Oryza sativa Japonica Group: one gene and its partner. The protein of the gene in region 2 interacts with the protein of the main gene of each other region in a pairwise test. Links are inferred from orthologs where the notes say so. Each region holds a gene or a part of one and is shown on either strand. Other genes may lie near its edges.

Region 1 (4,066 bases), on a different chromosome or scaffold from region 2:
ATCAAGAATATACAATACAATGTTTACAACTTTAAGACCCTCAAAGGTAGCAATCCTTATAATTCAGCTGCATCATGAACCTTGCTATTCCACATCGCATACCGAGGTTCTCTAATTCATCATTGAAGATTGCTTCATTCCTGGTTGTTCGAAAATTTAATAAAAATCCATAATCTTCTAACCTTGAGAAAGTGTGAAAAGATGCAGCAAAGGATGTATTATTTTTTTCCAAATGGCCAATTATTTTTTTTCCCGAGGGAACTATTGGCCAATTCGTCGTGAAATGCTCTAATATACTACCCACCAGAGGATAATAAAACAATAAAGTATTTAATCACCAAAGAACTGAAAATAAAACACCCAATCTATTAACCACCCAGAGCTAAAATATCCCAGAATTTTGTCAACCGAGACAGTTACTACCCACAATTCAAATAGTGAGAAATTGGACATTCTGCCACTGCTAAAAGAGGATTTCACTCAAATGCCACTCTACGGATTGGATTCGTTAAAAAGCCACTTCCAACCGATGCTAAACCGCCACCAGTGTACTTAAGGCGACAAGGTGAGGCAAGGCGACCCACCCCTACTCAATTGCCTAGGCAACGCCTTAAGAGTTTAAGGCAAGGGTAAGGCGACGCCTTAAACACAAGCACAAGAGGCATACTAGAGATATATGAGGCAAAAAAGAGAGGAAGAACATGAAGGGGCGAGGAAGAGCAGGGAGACAGATCCATTGGAGAAGAAGGGAGCAGCAAGAGGGAGACAACCATCTTCTCTTTCCAATCTCTGCCCACCCTATTATCTATTCGCTTTCCATCTTTCACCCTTCCCTCTCCCTAAATTGGCGCACCCCTATTCTCTATTCTCTTTCCATCTTTCACTCTTCCCTCCCTAAATTGCTGCACACGCGATTTCCATCATATCTTCACGCGATTTCCTTCCCAGCATGTGTAATTCCCTACAGCGCATGCGCCCTTGACCCCCACCTTGCCCGTGTCTACCTGATTTCACGAGATATTAGGATCCAAGACGTGTAGAAGGGTAGGCAGTGGGGACGCTCTGCTCCCTGATGGCGCTCAGACGCCTAGGCAACGCTTAAGCGACGCTTTTAAAACCATGACCGCCGCTTTGCCATATTCGCCATTTCATAGGATTTCCACCATTTTCAGCCATTGGTCTGACCAAAATACCCCTTCGGTGATAGGCGCCAGCAATGGGCAGCGACCACTACCAAACGTTGGGGCTGCGGCGGGACGCCACCACGGCCGAGGTGAAGGCCACCTTCTGCCGCGGTGCACTCCATGACCAGCCGGACCGCCACGCCCACTCCCCCGACGCAGCCATGCGCGCCACTTTCGCCTCGCCTCCGACGCGTACAGGCCTACAGGGTCCACTCCGACGACCACCTCCACGCTGATTATGACCTCCGCCTTCGCTCGTCCTCCTCTTCCTCCTACAGCCATGCCACCACCTCCTCCTCCTCCTCCTCCTCATCGGCCTCATATGGGTATGGCTACGGCCACAGACGTGGCGGTGGTTCCTAGCGTCGATCACCTCTGGGTGGAGAGGATGTTGCCTCGGCCTGATTCTATTAGGACTTGTTGCTGAAGTCGGTCACGCGGTGCGGGTTCCTCATCAATCTGGGTTTCACCAGGTAAAGCTGCCCAAATGCGTTGATGCTTTTCTTGCTTGCTTTGGTTGATTTGATATGCTGCATATGATTGTCCTGCTGATCCGTCATATTGCTAGCTTTTCTTGAGGGAATCATTGTGGAAAAAAGAATTGCAAAGTTCATGAATAATACTCCCTCCGTTTCAGGTTATAAGACGTTTTGACTTTGGTCAAAGTCAAACTGCTTTAAGTTTGACTAAGTTTGTTGAAAAAATAATAACATTTTCAACCCAAGACAAATTTATTATGAAAATATATTCAATTATTGATTTACTAAAACTAATTTGGTATTATAAATATTACTATATTTATCTATAAACTTAGTTAAACTTAAAGTAGTTTGACTTTAAGTAGTACAACATACGATGTCCATGTATGTGTGACCGACATCAAACCGCAGCCCGAAGGGTATTTTGGTCAGGCCAAGTGCGAAAAATGGTGGAATTCCTGTGAAATGGCAAATATGGCAAAACAGCGGTTTGACATCGGCCGGTTGGAAGTGGCTTTTTAACTAATCCAATCCAGGGAGTGACATTTGAGCCAAACCCTGTTTTGGCAACGGCAGAATGTCCAATTTCTCTCAAATAGTAGAGGACCATCTACCAAATAAATAACAGTAAAAGAAAAAAAAACCCGTACCAGCTTGAGCATCTCCTGGAGCACGGAGGCGACCTGCTCGCCGCCGCGGAGAAGGGCGTCGCACTCGGCCGGGTCCCATTTGGAAGGGTCGTCCCCTAGTGAAGCCGGTGAGGCGATGGGGACGGGTACCTTGGGCGGCGCGGCGAGGCAGATGACGGTGGGACGGGAGGGGACCCGCGGGTGGAGGAGGCGGGCAACTGGCCTGCCGATGCCGGAGGAGGTGGCGGACAAGGCGGAGGTAAGAGAGTGGGAAATCGAGAGGGGCAGAATCGCCATGGGTTCGCTGCAGATTTCTTCTCTTTGTCCCGCCCAGCCCTTGCTCCGGCGGGCGAACTCCCTAGCCGCCGCGCAGAGTCCCCGGCGTCGACGAGCTCTGATGTCGCCGGGGTGCGCGCTCCTCTTGCTCGCGCCGCGCTCGTTGAGAGATAGAGAGAAGAAAGAGGTAGCGCCACTACTGCCCAAGATAAGAGGAGATTGAGAGATTTGAGAGGGCCATAGCGGCTGTGGTTTTTTTTCTCTTTTTCCTATTCGACTCCCATGTGTGGGCTGGGCCGTGGGAATGCGGAACGGGATGGTCAGTACAGGGAATAAGTCCATTTCGCCTCTCTCGTGTCTTGTTCCTGATTGAATCGCCTCCCTCGACTGTAAAACCGGTTTGAGCAAGTTTAATAGTATAGCCAACTACTAGCTTTAAATCTATATAGCCAACTACTAGCTTCGAATCACCTATAACCAATTTATACAATAGTTGTTTACTATACTATTAATAACTGGTCCCACCTATCATACATACATTACGTCTTGGAGTCCGTGCTGCAGCTGGCTACAGATCTGTAGCCCGCTGCTCTTCTCTCTCTTGCTTTATCTCTTTAAAATATGTTTATAGCTGGCTTATAGCCTACTATTGTACCTGCTCTTATAGCACCTTATCCATCTTTAAAAACCGATGCGAAAAGACTCCTTCCGTGGTTCGGGAAACGGTTTTTGCTGACGAGAGCAGGTGCACTCACATGTTGATGAGGACACAACTAGCTCGGATATAACCAAGACTACCTTATGTATTAATCAACCAAAGGTGCATATGTTCTACGTTAGATTTACTTGTTATATATTTGAACAAACATTACTACATAATGAGTTTCGTATGTTTTTGTTTACAGAGGTACTTGTTTGGGCGAAAGAAAAGAGACCGAGCGTAAGGAATGCATGGATAATTGAAGAAGTTGATTGGGGACCAAACCAAGACCTTCTCCAAGTCTTCTTTCATCTCACCACGTCACTTTTGGTCCACAGAAGACAAGAGATAAAGTTCTACATGTTTTGGATTTGGATTCGGGCCTCCTGACAGCATCAACTTCAAACGGATCTAGCCGCACTGTTCTAGAAGGAATTTTGGGGCCCATGAATACTTGTTGGAAAGCATATGGAGTCTACTTCAGATGGATTTGGTCCCACGTCAAAATTCCTACCAAGTTGCTGGGAAACTGCAAAACAAGCCACATATCTCATCCAGTCCGAATCTGATTTGTGTTTTGGGCCTTGTAATAGTGTTGTGGGCTTAGCCTAAGGGGGTGTGCGCCCTAGGGCAACCCTAGGACGTCCTTAATCATATTTATTCAATAGCCTTCATCGTTTAGAGTCGGGTTTTGCTTAGATTATTCTGTCAAGAACAGTTTCGCCGCTAGATCGGTTTGTGAAACCCCAAATCCGAGTGCTTAATCATTCATATGCAATTTGGTTGCAATCTATCTTG
Region 2 (4,215 bases):
AGCAATGGACCACAAAGATGACCAGATCAAAAGGTTTTTCCATAGTGATAATCATTTGCTACTTAAATACTCCCTCCGTCCCATAATATAAGGGATTTTGACATTTTGCTTGCACTGTTTGACCACTCATCTTATTCAAAAAAATTTGTGCAAATATAAAAAACGAAAAGTTGTGCTTAAAGTACTTTGGATAATAAGTCACAAAAAAACTAATTCCAAAAATGTTTGAATAAGACGAATGGTCAAACAGTGCAAGCAAAATGTCAAAATCCCTTATATGAGGAGACAGAGGGAGTAGATGGCACTCCCATATTTCAAAACCTGTCTAGGAAAATGTAGTTGGGATGTTTTTAGAAAATAAAGGAAGTCATACCCTTTTGTACATTGTTGTGCCCTGAACCAGGGCTGGAATTAGGAGATCCACTTTTGCAAAAAGATCTTGACTTCAGGTCTGCCACAAGCTGATCAAATAAAGGGATTCAGGAAGAAACATTATAAAGTCTGTCTTTTTTGGTAAAACATGCACAAAATAATAGCTTACTTGTTCCCAAGAACTGTTGACCAAGGAAAGTGTCTCATTATGAGTCCTCTGCTTCTCTTTTAGCCCAGCGAATTTATTTTCAAGAGCACGATACTCAAACTTGTGGGCTTCTAGTTGCTCTGAGAGCTTTTGGTTTTTGTATTTGAGTACAGTAAAATCGAGCTGCCAAACAAGACAATATAAGTAGGCAGTGTGCGAAATCAAAACTAAAGATATGTGTTTGGCAACAAAGAGAAATCACTAATTCAAGCATAAAAAGAAAAGCTGAACCAACATTCAAGTATCTTTTATTTACAACTTGAAGAAGAGCAGAGCCAAAACAGAACATAAACACAAAAGGAGCCGTACTGATGATATCACCAACATGATAAATAGGTTCATTTCATGCTACAGGACAAAAGAAAAAAAAGGTTTTGTGCATGGATATTCCATATTGGACCAAATACGGTAACACATGAGTAAACGCATAAAAGGTATCATCCAACATGCCATTATACCCTTGACCTATCCCTCCCAAAATTTAACCAATCTTTTCCCATATTTCCCTCTTGTAAAATTAAATAACAAAGTAGGCGAATAATTGCCAGTTGTCACCGGTAGTAACAGCGATTAATTGTCAGTTGTCACCAGTAGTAACTTGGTGACAAATTTCATTAATATTAATTTAACGACCCAATTTAGACCTTTATCTATATCAAAAAACAATAGCATATGCTATGGAAAAATAAAAGGCGCTATGATTGTAAATAAGCATTGGCACATTATGGTATCATTGCCAGCAAGAAAATTAAATTTGTCCAAAGCAGCAGCGGAGCTAGGGCCCGGCCACCACGGGCAGGTGCCCGGGCTCCACCGTATTAGCCAGTGGATTACCACTTAATGCCCCTGCTTAATCTGCTTCTTTTAATAGAGGCTAAATCAGCTATGCAAGCAACAAAGGAGTCAAGACACAGCCTCACACCAATGTTTGCTGCCATCAGCCTAAGGCCAAAGCTACACAGTTCTCCAACAGCCATTATCTACTTTTGACAAAAAAATAATACTTATTAATCCTATAATCTAGCCCATTCGTTTAGGTTTGCCCAAGCTCAAGAGAACTTCTAGATCCGCTACTAGTCCAAAGTTAACCATTTCAATATCCATAAATGTAGCCACAAAAAACTAAGATCATTTAAAAAACTCAAAATACGAAGGTTTACCAAGGAATTGCCACTTTCTGCTATCATGAACACGGGAAAACAAGAATGCAATGTAAGTCAAGTAACAATTTCACAAGTCAGCCTCCCATCTATCACCGAGTAATAATTATAGAATACATCAATTGCTCTAAAGAACCATAAACAATCGTGCAATAGTTGCAGAATCCGAAACGGATAATGCATAGCTCATTCCTACTAGTATTTTTGTTTTCACTCTGACAGGAGGCAATATACATAGGGCTTCTTCCACTAACGACCACAACACAGCAAGACTTGCAATTGCATAGAGCTCAGCATAAGTACAAAAGCATCAAACACTTGTCAAGAATAAACTCATCGATCTATACTCAAACAGTCCACAATAGATCTTTTAGCGGATGTATGGATTCCATGACATAACAAAACAGCTAAAAATCAGTCACCATGCCACCATCTAGCTATCATACAACAACATATCAAACAGTACTACCACCATAAACATGAACTCAAACAAACAGTACTAACACGGTACCACCATAAACATTAACTCAAAACGATACAGAGCTGGCTCGAGATGCGCAAATACCTTCTTATCTTCGGAGGTGGGTGCAACCGCCAGCCGCTTGGCAGGAGAAACAGGGGCCCCGCCGCCGGGCGCGACGGAGCTACTGAGCCGCCGCTTCCGGTCGGGCTCCCCCGTGCTCCCCATAACCCTAACCCTAACCTCTCCCAGGTCCTCCGATTCTCCACATGCGGCGGGTGAAACCAAACCCCGAAACCACAAGGGCCAACCCTCCCGGCCACCTACCGGTCCAATCCACCACCCAAACCCCCGCCCCGGCGACTCCCGAACCCTAACACGCGGATCACCAAACCAATCGCACCCAAAAAAACAATCGCAAAAAAAACAAAGAGCGGATGAAGGACGGAATTGGAGCGCGGGACGAGCGGATCGCGGCGGAGGCGGAATTCGGCTAGGGTTGTAGGGGGGAAGGGATCGGATCAGGGAGGTGTGGGCGAGAGGTGGGAGTTAGCGGTGGTTTTGGCGTGTGCACTGTCAAGGGGGGAGGAGGTGAGAACCGTGAGGAGAAAGAAGAGAAGGGGGGGAGGAGAGCTAGGCGAACGGCGCAGAGAGGAGAGAGAATATGCGTGTGGGGAGGCGGAGTGAGTTATCTCGGGCGGAGGCGGCTGTTCGCCCCGCTGCACGGACTCCGTGCTTCTGTGGACAGTGGACACCAGCGGGCATAGGGTTGGACCTCCGTCAGTCGGCCTTTTAACAGCCAGCCCAGAATGGTGAGAACGACAATGTTCAATATAGATTACTGTCACAAATTATTTATTTTGTTATATATATGATAAAATATTGTTTTTAAAATTAACAGGTACTCCCTCCGTCCCATAATATAAGGGATTTTGACTTTTTTGCTTGTACTGTTTGACCACTCGTCTTATTCAAAAAATTTGTGCAAATATAGAAAACGAAAAGTTGTGCTTAAAGTACTTTGGATAATAAAGTAAGTCATAAACAAAATAAATAAATTCCAAAAATTTTTGAATAAGACGAATGGTTAAACACTGCAAGTAAAAAGTCAAAATCTCTTATATTATAGGACGGAGGGAGTAGCGTATAAGCAAGTACTGGCACCTGAACCTAGGACATGCATTATTTGATCTTCATGATAAGTCTTTCATATGAAGTTCTTTTTATACGGTGTGAATCCAGTGTATTACAATTTTCAATGTAAAGCTTTGATTATCAGTGCCATACAAGGTCATATTACTAAGCAATAGTAAGTTGTTGGTTCATGTGGTTGCAACTCTTGTTAATTAACTCAGATAGCTTGTTTTTAAGAAAAGGTTAATATGGTTATTTTGAAGTAGTCTTGGTCTTTTTCATTTTAAATTTTGTTTTACCATAGTTGAATTGGTCATGAATATAGAGAGGTTAGCCAATAATCTATTGCTTAATACTATTAGTTAAGGTTTCAGTGTTTACCACATGACGGACATGAGCAATACTCTGGTTTCTACATGTGATAATATCGGTCGATCATAACATTAATGTGGTAGGTTGGTAACGGAAGGTTAAAGCATGATAACTGTCGAGAGGCAAGATGAAAACTAAGATGTTCAGAAATACAAAGATACATATATATGAACCATTTGGTCGAGGAAAAGTAGTCCTAGAGAAGCATACCACGTGGGGAACAGGGGATGAAACATGATGGTATGAAAAAAAAAACATGTCCTCTATGCACACACATGATGTATGTGATTGTCGTATTGGGGATAAAGTTGGTTCAAATGCACAATGCTTGTTAGTACCATATTTTCTACTTATTTTTACTCAATTACAAGTAAAGGCGGATGGTGTATGGATACATTGAGAGTATCTTTTTGTTCTTCTAATATTGCATGAAGGGATGTTAACGTTTAGATATATTAGATCATATGCATGGATTCAATAAAAAAAATACATAGTACATATTCAAGCAA

The links.
Region 1: the proteins of E3 ubiquitin-protein ligase BRE1-like 1 (region 2) and protein PEP-RELATED DEVELOPMENT ARRESTED 1 homolog, chloroplastic interact in binary tests that used the Arabidopsis thaliana proteins (3 or more experiments, as listed by UniProt). The link is inferred for Oryza sativa Japonica Group from reciprocal best matches to the Arabidopsis thaliana genes HUB1 and AT5G48470.

What each region holds. Positions count from the first base shown.
Region 1 is NC_089045.1:15,317,709-15,321,774, forward strand, and holds the start of protein PEP-RELATED DEVELOPMENT ARRESTED 1 homolog, chloroplastic, read right to left. Parts: upstream 2,801-4,066; 5' UTR 2,590-2,800; coding exon 2,314-2,589; intron 1-2,313. UniProt on the Arabidopsis thaliana protein: Plays an essential role in early steps of chloroplast development. May be involved in the redox control of plastid gene expression by maintening the redox state around chloroplast nucleoids.
Region 2 is NC_089038.1:28,062,285-28,066,499, forward strand, and holds the start of E3 ubiquitin-protein ligase BRE1-like 1, read right to left. Parts: upstream 2,801-4,215; 5' UTR 2,429-2,800; coding exon 2,306-2,428; intron 704-2,305; coding exon 542-703; intron 462-541; coding exon 374-461; intron 1-373. UniProt on the Arabidopsis thaliana protein: E3 ubiquitin-protein ligase that monoubiquitinates H2B to form H2BK143ub1. H2BK143ub1 gives a specific tag for epigenetic transcriptional activation and is also prerequisite for H3K4me and maybe H3K79me.